Linked DNA regions of Callithrix jacchus. The protein of the gene in region 1 binds, or shares a complex with, the protein of each later gene. Links are inferred from orthologs where the notes say so. Each region holds a gene or a part of one and is shown in the gene's direction. Other genes may lie near its edges.

What was found. The genes of interacting proteins can lie anywhere in the genome.
Region 2: CNOT9 (region 1) and CNOT7 share a complex: the UniProt entries of both Homo sapiens proteins name them as parts of the CCR4-NOT complex. The link is inferred for Callithrix jacchus from reciprocal best matches to the Homo sapiens genes CNOT9 and CNOT7.
Region 3: CNOT9 (region 1) and CNOT8 share a complex: the UniProt entries of both Homo sapiens proteins name them as parts of the CCR4-NOT complex. The link is inferred for Callithrix jacchus from reciprocal best matches to the Homo sapiens genes CNOT9 and CNOT8.

Annotation. Positions count from the first base shown.
Region 1 is NC_133507.1:140,310,496-140,315,010, forward strand, and holds the start of CNOT9 (CCR4-NOT transcription complex subunit 9), read left to right. Parts: upstream 1-1,473; 5' UTR 1,474-1,614; coding exon 1,615-1,638; intron 1,639-4,515. UniProt on the Homo sapiens protein: Component of the CCR4-NOT complex which is one of the major cellular mRNA deadenylases and is linked to various cellular processes including bulk mRNA degradation, miRNA-mediated repression, translational repression during translational initiation and general transcription regulation.
Region 2 is NC_133514.1:24,436,592-24,440,391, forward strand, and holds part of CNOT7 (CCR4-NOT transcription complex subunit 7), read left to right. Parts: intron 1-2,859; coding exon 2,860-3,021; intron 3,022-3,800. UniProt on the Homo sapiens protein: Has 3'-5' poly(A) exoribonuclease activity for synthetic poly(A) RNA substrate. Its function seems to be partially redundant with that of CNOT8.
Region 3 is NC_133503.1:54,075,865-54,080,351, forward strand, and holds the start of CNOT8 (CCR4-NOT transcription complex subunit 8), read left to right. Parts: upstream 1-1,529; 5' UTR 1,530-1,644; intron 1,645-4,487. UniProt on the Homo sapiens protein: Has 3'-5' poly(A) exoribonuclease activity for synthetic poly(A) RNA substrate. Its function seems to be partially redundant with that of CNOT7.

The DNA of each region.
Region 1 (4,515 bases):
TCCATCCCAGTTGCCTTTATTTTACATCACTATACTCTTTTTAGGCTATTTCATCCACATCCGTGGCTTCAATTAACATTAACATGGCAGATGACATATACACCCACACACACATTTACGTATCCAGCTCAGAACTCTCCTAAGAGCTCACCCACTATATCCAACTGCCTACTTGACATTCCCTCTCAGATGTCTCTTCCAGTCAGAGACTTGTCGGGAATTGCCACCTCAACAAAGGAATTTACACAGAGCTGAAATTTTGAGAGGACTACCCCAAAACCAATTCAGGACAATTCTCCTGGACACAGGACTTTGTCATCAATCATTTCTTTTACAGATCATGACTTAGAAGAACGAAATCAAACAACCTGATGTGATAGCTAGAAATGGGCGCAAGGAAATGCACAAGAAAAATACAACTCATGTTTTGCAGTGAGGACTGGTCAAGAGGAAGGTGAACATGGTCAAGAGGGTAAATGAGTATCATGTCCAAGGCCTGGTGGATGTGCGGCAACCAAAGTCACAGTCACCAGAAGAGACAGGCCTTGTTAAGAGGCAAAGTGGCTGACGACAACAGCCCCAGAGGAAAGGGGCCAGGTTCGAGTTTCGGAAGGAGCGACTGGCAGTGGAGACCAAGTCAGAGAGGGGAAAGCCGGGGCAGTGAACCCAAAGGGAGTACCTGTGAGGCTGAGGGTGCGTCCAGGGGTTGTGGGCGGCCTGAGTAGCAGCTGGGCGAACTCCAAAAGAGTGAACACCGAGTGGGCGGATCGCACAGAGGGACTGGGCGCTAGGGAAAACGGCTCAATTGAGAAGCTACCCCGACCCTCCTTACCTGCGCTGAGGGTCCAGAGCCCCCGGACAGACCTGCGGAAAGCACGCAGCGGCGCAGAGCGAGAGGAGCCAGGGGTAATGAAAGTAGGGATAACAAACCCAAAGGAGGGAGGCCGCTACCTACCCCTAGTCAGAGCGAGCGGCTGATGGCGGGAACTGCGACCACACGCAAACACGCACGCACGCACGCAGACTTGACGCGACCACACAGGCGCGTGCGCGCCAGCGAAAACTCCGCCCCTCATACGCCCTCGCCCCGCCCCCAACAGCACCTAGTGCGGCCTAACCCGGTCAGCCCCGCCCCAGCCCTGACTGTAGTACGCAGGCGCACTTCCTGCTTCACCCGATTTCGACCCTCCCATCGTTTCCCTCTTACTCTGCCCAGTTGGGCATGCGCAATTGTTTTCCTCACGGGACGGTCCATTTTTTCCCGCCGTTCACTGGCCTCTGGAGAAGGGTCAGAGTTCACGCCGCTCTCTGGAAATATCTGCTTAAAGCTAGGAGTTGCGGGAACTAGTTGGTCGCGGACGTTTTTCGGGTCCTAAATCTTAAGAGGCAAAGGACAGACTCCGGGACTGTTAACTAGGCCGAGGGCCAGGGGGCGGGAAGAGGATGTGTGGGTGGGGTCAGAGGTGATAGGTCAGAGGGCTGCGAAGGGGGCGGAGCGAGCTAGAGGCGGATGGCTGCTACAGCGGCTCATTATTTTCGGCGGCAGGGGTGCTGAAGCTGGGACGCGGGTCGGGCGCGTCCGGCTGCGAAAGGAGAGCGGCGGCCGCTCCCAACATGCACAGCCTGGCGACGGCTGCGGTGAGTGGCTGGGCCCCCAGGCCTGGAACCAGAACCCTTCCTCCGCCCCACTTTTCGGCCTTCTCTCCTAGTTCCCGGTGTCGGGCCCTAGTCCGATTTTTTTCTTCCCTCAACCTGCGAGGCCCGGGTTCCCCTGCTCGGCGCGCCTTGGTTGTGTTGGAGCCGGCCCCTACGTCCTCGTCGGAAGCCTCTCGCGGCCTCCCGCGCGACCCATCGCGTTCTTTTCTGGCGCCGGGGCCTGGTCCCGCGTCCATAGCAGAGCATTCATTGATTCATTGCGGTGACCAACAGTTTCAGGGCGCCAGTTGTGTTCTGGGCGCCGGCGTAGATGGGCGCCGGCATCGATGAGGGGAATTCCATGGTCAGTCTGACGCGGCCCATGCTCAGAACTCACCACATCGCAGTGGGAAGGAAATGGCTTCTAGTTCAAGGCTTTACTTATGGAAAACCTGAGGCCCGAAGAAGTGCATAATTTTTGCATCTGACTTAAGTTCTCTGGGTTTAAAACTTTCCTCGACACGTCTCGTTTTACCCGCGTGATCTTTTAACAAGAAAGACAGATCGTGTAATTCAGCTGTCTGAAGTAATCCTACAGCTTCTCTTGGCATTGAGATAAAAGCTAGACTCCTTGCCATGGCCTACAAGGCCCTGATGTGGTCCTTAACCCACGTTTACAATCCCGTTTCTTGTCTGGCTCCTGAAGTTTCAGCTACACTGGCCACCTAACCCTCTACAACACACTTTTCCTCTCCAAGATACACTTTATGGTCTCTATGCCTGGAACGAAAGTTTTTATCCTGCCTCCTTTACACACACAGCATGAGTGTAATTGGTACCTCTTCCTTGAACTCTCCATAAACATACTGTTTATCCAAATCCATCTTTCCTCGGGCCTCTGTCTAAATCTGTCCCAGAGTAGCCCTCCTTGACTACCCTCTTCAAATTAGTTCCACAGCCACTAACTTTAATAGAGTACCCTTTACAGCTCCCGATCCCTGTGTAATTATTGTATTTGTTCATTTGTTTTCTGTCTCCTTGAGGGCAGGGACAGGGATCATGTGGGTCCTGTTGACATGGTTTCCCCAGTGTCAGAACAGTTCCTAGTACAAAGTAAAGACTCACTTTGCTGCATGAAAGAATATTGAAGGGAAGGTGACCACTGGAAGAACATAGCCATAATGGGGAAAGATCATTTGATTTGAGCACACATGCCTAAAGACCAATTCTGCTTTTTCTGTTTCACCAAAGGGAAATGATTTAAGGAAAGTAATGTACTGAAATTGTATTATCAGGCAAAATGACATAATTACTAAATAAAGCACCAAAAAATTGCCATACCTTTTAAGTACAAAAAGTGAAAAATTGAGCCAAGTGTGACTAAGCTATAGAAAACTGCTTTTTGAGATTTGATCTCCATCATCATTTCCAGTGCTGTTGGTATCTCTGCCTCCTGTCACACTGTTCCTAAGTGTTTGTAACTATTCAATGTGGAAAGTTATGTTTTATACCTCAATTAGGAGATTGCAATTTCCCTCGCTTTTTTGTTCCTTCTTCCAAATTATATATGTAATGTGAGGAAAAGTAAGTTGAAAGATGAGTTTGCTGCTGTTAGGGGAACAGCAGCCGAGGCAGGTGGATCACCTGAGGTCAGGAGTTTGAGACCAGCCTGGCCAACATGGTGAAACCCCATCTCTACTAAAAATACAAAAATTAGCTAGGCATGGTAGCGGGCACCTACAATCCCAGCTACTCAGGAGGCTGCGGCAGGAGAATCGCTGAAACCCAGGAGGTGGAAGTTGCAGTGAGCTGAAATTGTGCCATTGCACTCCAGCCTGGGCGACAAAAACAAGACTCTGTCTTCAAAAAATAAATAAATAACAAAATGCTCAGTAGCTGGCTAGATTCACTCACTGATAAGTGACTTCTTCCCAGACTTCAGCTTTGGGGATTTAATTCCCAAATTATAGGCTCACACCTATAATCCCAGCACTCTGGGAGGCCAAGGCAGAAAGATCACTTGAGGCCAGGAGTTCAAGACCAGCCTTGGCAACACCGTGGGAACCTGTCTCTACAAAAATTTTTAAAAATTTTCCAGGCTGCAGTGAGCCATGATCGTGCTACCGCACTTCAGCCTAGGCAACATAGTGAGACCCTGTCTCAAAGAAAAAAAAAACTATAAATCTTTGATGCTGTAATGGATGTTATACTTGCGAAACCACCAGAGGTAAGCCTTTAGGAGATGTGTTTTTGTTTTGTTTTGTTTTTAATTTCCCACTGGCAATTCTAGCATCCCTAAACACTTGTTCTCTCACTTTCCACCTAATCAGCAGCATCATTAGTCATTTTATGTATTTTATTGAAGCTGTCATAGACTCCCAGATGCCTTCGTCTTTGGCAAGTAGACAGAAAGAACACTGCACTCTAAAGGATCTAATTCACTGTCTCCTCCCGAGTCTCCTGATGAAGCTTTAGGCAAATTGCCTAACTTATCTTTGCATATTCACTTCCATTTTTAAAAAGTCATTTTGAAACAATACCTTCTGGCTCTTATAAAGTTATAAGGGTAAGTAAGCTAATTTAGTACTTCCAGCACTATTAGAAAGTTCATTATTTTGGAATACCATGCTGACACCCAAAGCCACGTGTTGATATCCAGACTTGGGAAAATAATCCTTATTTCAGTCTGAGTCCATTTTCTATTTATTGGTAATAAAACAAACAGCTGTTTTAGCCCTTAAACATAAAGTTACATTGGTAATTTGGCTCTTTTCTGTTTAAGAAACCATCCACGTCAATTTTTTAATTTACTCAGAGAAGGAAATAATTTTCTTTACAATTTATAGATAAATGTCAATGTGTTTTATTTTAAATAACTTA
Region 2 (3,800 bases), on another chromosome or scaffold:
GCCTGCTAAAGTTTACTATGAAGTTTGGCTCCAGTTTACACCAGGGGTGTCTAATTTTTTGTTTTCCCTGGGCCACATTCGAGGAAGAATTGTCTTAGGCTACACATAAAATACACTAATGCTAATGACAGCTGATGAGCTCAAGAAAAGAAAAACAAATTGCAAAAAAGAAAAAAACTCGAAATGTTTTAAGAAAGTCCACTAATTCGTATTCGGCTATATTCAAAGCCATGCTGGGCCACATGTGGCCCACGGGTTGCAGGTTGGACAAGCTTGATTTACACCGATGTTAGGAGATGTTTAAGGAGAAGGAAACAGTGAAAAACATTAGGTGGAAAGGTCATTTAGCAGATAAACCAGTAGTGCTTAATACAGAGAGAACGCCATGAACAGAATCTTGGAAATTTTGAAGAAAGTTAAGATTGACTTCCTAATGGAGTGGGTAGAATGAGTGTCAGATACAGTGCTAGACACTAGAGATACAGTATTGAGGAAAGTTGGTCATGGTCTTTATAACTCACTATTTTGTAACTCTTCTGTTTCCTCTGTTGCCAGAGTCTAAGAATTACAGTTGTTAATACCAATCAATGTATGAGAATTCTCTCCAAACTGAATTTGGAGTTGATATACCCATGAAAATTGAAGTGGAGTATTGAGCTGTGAAGAGGAAAAGCAGTCTGTGGAAATATTGTCACTGATAAGTCAGAGAGGATTAGAACACATTTGTAAAAAATCATCTCTTTTGGTGATTGCAGTGATTCTTGATATTTGAATCATTTTAATAGGGCAGTAGTAATGACAGGGCATCTTCAGTTCACTGGTAACAGAAAGGAAGCTGATGCTTCAGTTAAGGAAAGTGGTAGTGAAAAGGAGATAGTTCCATAAGAAGGGAGGCTGGGTGCAGTAGTTCACGCCTGTAATCCCAGCACTTTGCAAGGCCAATTGGCAGCCAAGGCAGGCAGGTCGCTTGAGCTCAGTAGTTCAGGACCAGCCTGGACAACATGGCAAAGCCTCATCTCTACAAAAATACAAAAATTAGCCAGGTATGGTGGTGCATATCTGTAGTCACAGCTACTTGACAGGCTGCAACAGGAGGATTGCTTAAGCCCAGGTGGTCAAGGCTGTAGTGAGTGGTGTTCAAGCCAGTGCTTCCTGGATGACAGCCACACCCTGTCTCAAGAAGGGAAAGTGAATTCAACAGAAGGGTGGTTTTTATTTTGTTTTATAGATAATACACAGACATACTTGAGTGTTCAAGAGTTGAGTTGCCGGGTGTTAGGATAAAGATAGGCACTTGACAAATACTTTGAGGAATGGCATGGAAAAGCATCTAAGGCATTGGCAGCAATTAGCTTTGGCGATGAGGCAGGCTGTCTTCGGAGTCTAAAGGAAAAAGATCTTCAGATAGATGGGTTGATATAAAAAAACAGGAATGTTGATGATCTGATATTTCTTTGTAAAGCAAGTATAGGGTGAAGCCATGTGCTACAAGTAAACAGGTGAAAAGTGTTATTGGAAATTTAAAAGATCTGAAACTACTTGTTCACCTATACCTTCGCAAATGGCCAAAAGCGATGTAAGCCTGGGGAAGAATCTGTTTTTTGTGCCTTTGGTTGCTTATAGTTGCTAAAGCATACCTCATTGTGAGCATTGGGACCTGATGACTGAGATACTAATTTTTTGAGTACGTATTTTTAGCCTAGGAAAGCTGTGGTTTAACTGGGGAAAAAACAAAAAATACTAAACAACTTCATTGGGTTTATTCTGTTACCTTTCCTAAAGGATTTTCCAGGGGAGACTTAACTTTTAAGTGATTATTGTAGTTTGCCTCTATTTTAAAATAATTCCATTATTAGCTTTGTAATTTTTCAGACATTTAAAAATGATTTCCAGAGGACAAACCATAAGAATGCTTTTTGGCCCAAGTGAAATATACCCTTGGTTTAGTTTTGTTTAAAGTGTTTAATAGCAATTCCTTTTGCCAAAAGGTAGAAACCATTATTCTTACAATTTAAAAAGTAAATAAAAAGTTCAATGGCAGATTCACAAAATACTTTTTCATTTATTCTCAAAAATACATGTGTATTTTAATAACTTTTTAAATATTTCAGATACACATAAATTTGTGGTTGGAAATTAGAGATGGCTTTCTTTTTGGCTTAAGTGAAATCTTGAAGAATTGGTTTATATTTAGATTTCCTGGCTTGATTTTATAAGGCAGTCTTTTAGGAATATGATTGTTGACAGAAGAAATTATTGCTATTACAGCATAGTCCTTAACTTTAAGCAGTGTTGCTTATTGGAGCCATTTGCAAGGCTTATCATTTATGAAAGGCATCTCCTTCTTCTTAAGGATGAAGTGTAGTTTTACCTCAACCACATGAGATGTTTTCCACTGGGTCTCCTTCCTTATGCTGCCAAGACCATAGGAGGTGGGCATATCCCCCACAGCTATGGCTGCAGCTCCACCTAGCAGCATTACAATGACTGCTGAGACAGAGAGTCTGAAAAAAGTTGTCTGTCACTCTGTGGTGGTAGCCCCTGGTGAGTAGAAGACCCTTTTTCCAAACCCAGTTAAATGTATTTAAGTATGAAAGGCTAATGAAATTGAGTTAATAGTAAGGATTAAAATTGCACCATTGAACTCTTTGAATGATTTTTTACTGTTTGAAACACTTTTCAGAAACAATGACTCTTGCATTTAAATTGCATTTTTCTTGCACAAAGGTTAAAGCCTTCAAACAGTTGGAATCAAGCCAATCCTCTCTCTCCTTATTGGCACTGTAGTTACAGGTGTAAGCAGAAGAACAGCTTGTTTGAAGTAATGGCATATTTGAATCTTTCTCTTTCTTCTGCCAGGGAGGACATGTATGCCCAGGACTCTATAGAGCTGCTAACAACATCTGGTATCCAGTTTAAAAAACATGAGGAAGAAGGAATTGAGACCCAGTACTTCGCAGAACTTCTCATGACTTCAGGAGTGGTCCTCTGTGAAGGGGTCAAATGGTTGTCATTTCATAGGTAAAACGACTGCATTGAAAATGCCATTTGTGTTTCCATCTCATACTTGCATCACACTTACTTCGGTCACTATGTTAGCAATTTCAGGCTTAATTCTAGAAAGAGTTGACTGCCATATAGAGTTGTCACCTAATTCTTAGGAGGCTAATGTTAGTCTGCTTAAAGGTTAATTTAAAATATGGGATCCATTTTTGCCTGTGAGAAGCATGTTGCGTAGTAGAAAGAGTACACGTTCCCTAGAAAGTGAAAGGCCTAGTTTAAAGCCAGCAATGCCGTTTGGAATTGATGTTGCCCAGGGTTTTCTTTTACTATTTCTGCACCTTAGTTTTTAATGTTCTACAAGGGAAACCATTAATTTACATTTACAAAAATCTATTGAGTATTTACAATATGGCAGGCACTGTGATGAAATGCTAGGAATTAAGCTGTGACTAAAACAGATGAAAATTCTTGTCCACATGGAGTTTATATCCTGATGGGGGTGGACAGTTTTTTAAAAATGGAGTTCATATTGTGGTTTGTTAGATAGTGCTAAGTACTATCTAAAATGAAACAGCAAGAAAATGCTAGGGGTGTGTGTGTAGATGGAATTTAATTTTTTAAAAATAATGTGATAAGGTATCCCTTAGAAGAAATATCTCGAAGACTTGCTTTAATAGTCAGTAAATTACTTTATAAACAGTCAATTATCAATAAGTGGTAGATTTTAATTCTTTATTATTGTAAAACTAGATTATTTAAGAGTGTTTCTGGTAAGGAAACTAGTTCCTATTTTGTGA
Region 3 (4,487 bases), on another chromosome or scaffold:
CTTATTTAGTAGATAAGGAGCTAGACACTCATTTGGAGGGGAGAAGAGGCGGACCAGAGTTCAGAAAGCTCATTTGATGCTCTTAACCCTGGAGGCTGTAGCTAGGAGTTCACCTCCCTGGAGAATAGCTTTTCGGAATCCTGTTTGAAATTGCCGCTCACGGCCAGTTGGCTTTCAGCCTAGGAACAGGAAGGAGGATTTTGGAGAATCCCCTGAGGGGGAAATGTTTAAAAGTGCAAAGTGAATAATAGTAGGAACCTCTCTCTCGTTCACTAGGGGTACATTTGCTGTTCGCTTTCAAACAGCCCCTCAAATACAAGCATCTGGGAAAAGGACTAGAACTCTGATTAGGGCCGCCCCCACGTCCTCTCGGGAACAAGGGCGGAGCGCTGGCTAGAGTGGCTGAGGGCGGCCCGCCGCGGACGCTGTGTACAGGAAGCCGGCGCTTTGTCTTCCGTCCCACCGCAGAGAACACGAGGCAGCGGCGCGTCCCATCTGGTCACAGGTTGCACAGGCCGGGCGCCAGCCAAGAGCCCTCTCTTCAAGCAGGATTAAAGGGGAACCAAGTGGCTGGCAGAGGGGCCTCAGTAGCTCCTGGGCGAGGCCTGAGCCCGTGGGTCTCCACACTAAAATCCGGCAAACCCCTGGCGCGTCCGCAAAGGTTTTGGAGCCGGGTTACGCCTTCGCTGGCTAGGCGCTGTGTCCACGGGAGGCGCCATCCTCTTTGTAACTTCAGCAGGCCCTGGCGGGCCGGTTGTTATGGCAACGCTCCTCGCCGGCTCGGTAAGGCCGGGAGGGAGGCGGGCCTTGGCGGACGTCACCCAAACTCGGCTTTGGGGAGCCGCCCCACCCCTAACTGCCAGAAAGGAATCGTAAGATATATAGATGCTTTGTAAGTGAGGAATCTAGGGGGCCCCATTCGAACCGAAAGCCAGGACAGCCTCTTTCCCGGTCAGCCTCGCCACAAATCCCTTCCTGCCAACGATTTTAGCGGTCCTTCAAAGCCAGGAGGAGGGGGGCGTCGCAATTCGGGGGGTTTGTTCGGAAGGGCATTGCCATTTCCTCAGCCTTTGGATTTTTCCAGGCCGCGCCCACGGTGGGGGCCTAGTTCTAGACCACGCCCCTTCCTTGTTCCCGCGGAAAGAGGACCAAAATGGAGGAGTAGGGATCTTGGTTAAATTGAGCGGGCGCAACGAATCTCGCGAAGAGAGCCGCGGGAGGGCGGTCTTCCGCAAGCGTGCTTCGAGGCCGCCGCGCCCCACCTATTCGGTGTCCTGTTGGTTCTGCGGCTGCGCGCTGCTTCCCGCGAGCTCACTGGCAGAGCGAACACGCACGGAGTCTCAGGGGCGCGCAAAGGGGGAGGAGCGGGCATGACTAGGCGCGCGCGCGTTTGCAGTGACTCTAGAGAGCAGGCGAGTCGGGCGGATCGACTGGGTAGAGTGGTGACGTCCCGTTGTTTGGTGGAAGGTACGTAAGGCCGCTCTGGGCACGGGGGCGCCCATCTCACTGGTTCGTTCGGTTCTAGGAGCGGATCCGGGGTAGAGGAGAGGAGAGCTTTGGGTCAGGGACCGCCGCCGCCGCCGTCGGGGATTCGGCCCGCCAGTTCGCCAGCCAGCCAGCGCTTCGCGTGCCCTGCCAGTCACGGTAAGCGGGCCTACGCTTACTGGAAAGTGGAGCGTGAGATGAAAGAGTGAGAGACCATCGGGGGTCTGTAGGGGGACGGGGAGTGGGGGGCATGTGTAAGGGACAGGGTGTGTGAGGAGGAGAGGAAGTCCAGCAAAGAGTAGTAATAATAATGGCTACCGCCTCACGATAATATTCGAGTGATATGTTCGCGGACTTTACAAAGCACCTCATATGCTTCATTTTAACTTGTATTCCAGTTCTCCGCGGTGCATACTATTATCAAACCCACTTTACGAGATAGGAAAACTGAGGCACGAAATAGGTTAAGTGGCTTATGCAAGAACATACAACTACTACGTGGCCTTGCCTGGCCTGGCTTCGAACTTAGTTCTTTTAGTCCTAAGGCCCATAATTTTAACATTGCTTTACCAAGCAAAACAAAGAAAAATGGAGTGTCAGAAGGAGGAGGACTGAGTGTGGTTTGAAGTAGAAAGGTGGTGATAAACGGGAAGAGAATGATGATGGGAGACTGAGTCGCGGAGAGGACCTGAATTTGGAACCCTGCTGGCCTCCCCCTTCTAACTCGCCGCCTCCTCCTTAGTTCTTGCGGTCCCGCAACTTTTTCTTGCCGTTCTATTGCTTTATGAGTGGAGGAGCCAACTTAAAAGTACCATTAGGGTACTTTTAAGAAGTTTGAACTGCGGTTCAGTTCAGGGCAGTGCCTTGAGACAGTGTTTGGGGTAGGGGAGAGTCGGAGGATGGTGGCAGCCTAGTTTGGAGAGGACCCTCTTAAGCGCTGTAATTTCTTCAAACGTGCCACTTACTTTTCTGTCTCATCTACAGACGGCAAAATCTTTGTTCAGTCCTCTAGAATAGGGAAGTGATGTTTACTGTTTCCTTGTACACTTGGGCTTAAACAAACAAAATCAGACTCAACATTTCTTTTCCCGAGCAAGACCTTGATTACTTGCAGAGAAAACTTTCCGGTGGCGTTATCATTAGTTGCCCTTCAAAGCTTTCGTGTGTAAATAAGGAGCTATATGTTTTGGAGAAAGTTTACACTGTAGGTCAACGGGAGCGATCTGAACATATTGCACTGCAGGTCAGCACAGGGCACGGATTTCAGTAATTCATAGGGGTGTGTGTGTATTTGTGAAAACCTTTCCCTCTTGCACAGTTTCCTGTGTGGCTCATGTGGGAATCGACTTTTTAAGTCAGCCTGTGAGGCAAACATTGTATGTGATAAAAATCCTTAAACATTCCTTAGGAAGGTGCAAATTTGAGATTAGCATCGTGTTTCTGACTACATCTTGGACGGTTTTTCCTTCAGTTTGAAACTTAATACTGTTGCTTTGGTTGTACCCCAGATAAAGTAGTTAGGTTATCTTTAGGAGCTGTGTTGTGCAAATAAGCATATTTGAAAGGCATACAGTTGTGATGCTCTGTGAGATACTTGCACTGAGGAGGCTTAAAAGGTGGAAGACAAACCAAGGGAACGGTGTGTTTGTGATTTCTTATCTTAGGCTCCTTTTGGAGCATGTGCTTACAAAGTGGAGAGTGGCAGACAGAATTGCTGTTATGATGGTTTTTTTTGAGACATGGTGGTGTTCAGTTGCTGCTGCTGGAATGCAGTGGCCTAATAACAGCTCACTGCTGCAGCCTCGACTTCCTGGGGCTCAAGTGATCCTCCCAGCTCAGTCTCCTGAGTAGCTGGGACTACGGGCACACACCACCATGCCTGGCTAAGCTTTTGTACTTTCTGTAGAGATGGGGTCTCACTTTGTTGCCCAGGCTTGTCCCGAACTCCTGGGCTCAAGTGATCCCCTAGCCTCAGCCTCTCAAAGTGCTGGGATTACAGGCATGAGACATTGCCCTCATCCCGTTGGTATTATTTAAGTTGCTATTTTATCTTTTTTTGTTTTTGAGACAGAGTCTCACTCTGTTGCCCCGGCTGGAGTGCAGTGGCGCCATCTAAGCTCACTGCAGCCTCTGCCTCCCAGGTTCAAGGGATTCTCCGGCCTCAGCCTCCTGAGTAACTGGGATTACAGGTGCCCGCCACTACGCCCAGGTAATTTTTTGTATTTTTAGTAGAGACTGGGCTTCACCATGTTGGCTAGGCTGGTCTTGAACTCCTGACCTTGTAATTCACCCACGTTGGCCTCCCAAAGTGCTGGTATTACAGGTGTGAGCCACCATGCTGGCCTCTTTTTTTTCTTTTCCTTTGGCCACCATATACAGTAATTTGACTTGTTAAATTAAATGTACATAGTGCGATTCCTCTTTAATTTTTGAGTGACACCACATTCAGGGGCTCGAAAGCTATTGTTTACTTCCCCACAGATCCTAGCTAACTTTGGAGCAAAAATGGGTTACGTATTTTTGCTAGTCGTCTGGCTTTTGCAGTCCCCATATATATGCCACATATGTATAACAGTGGTTAGCTTTTTAAAATCCAATTCTATTTATGAGAGAATAAAATAGAATCATTTTGGTTGTGTGGGTTTTTTTTTGTTGTTGCTTTTGCTTTTATGGAAACATCTCTCAAAACCCCAGGAGTGATACACCCACTTCCTCCAAAGTAGTTCATGGTTGTGTTTGAAATAACACCAAAAAGGAAGGATATTATTTCAGTTAGGGAAATAAGGAAGTGTCACCGAGTTAACATTATATGGGTATAGGAAATGGTTTTACAGCCTTTTGCAGGGGAGAAATCTTAAGATTAGGAATCTAAAATTCGGAGTCCCAGCATTTTCTGAGTTATGGTCAGATAGTGGAATTTACAGCACATTCATTCTGAACTTCTCTGTTTTCCTGATCTTTGTTGTTCTTTTGGAAGCCTTTAATAGAACAAAAACAAGAGA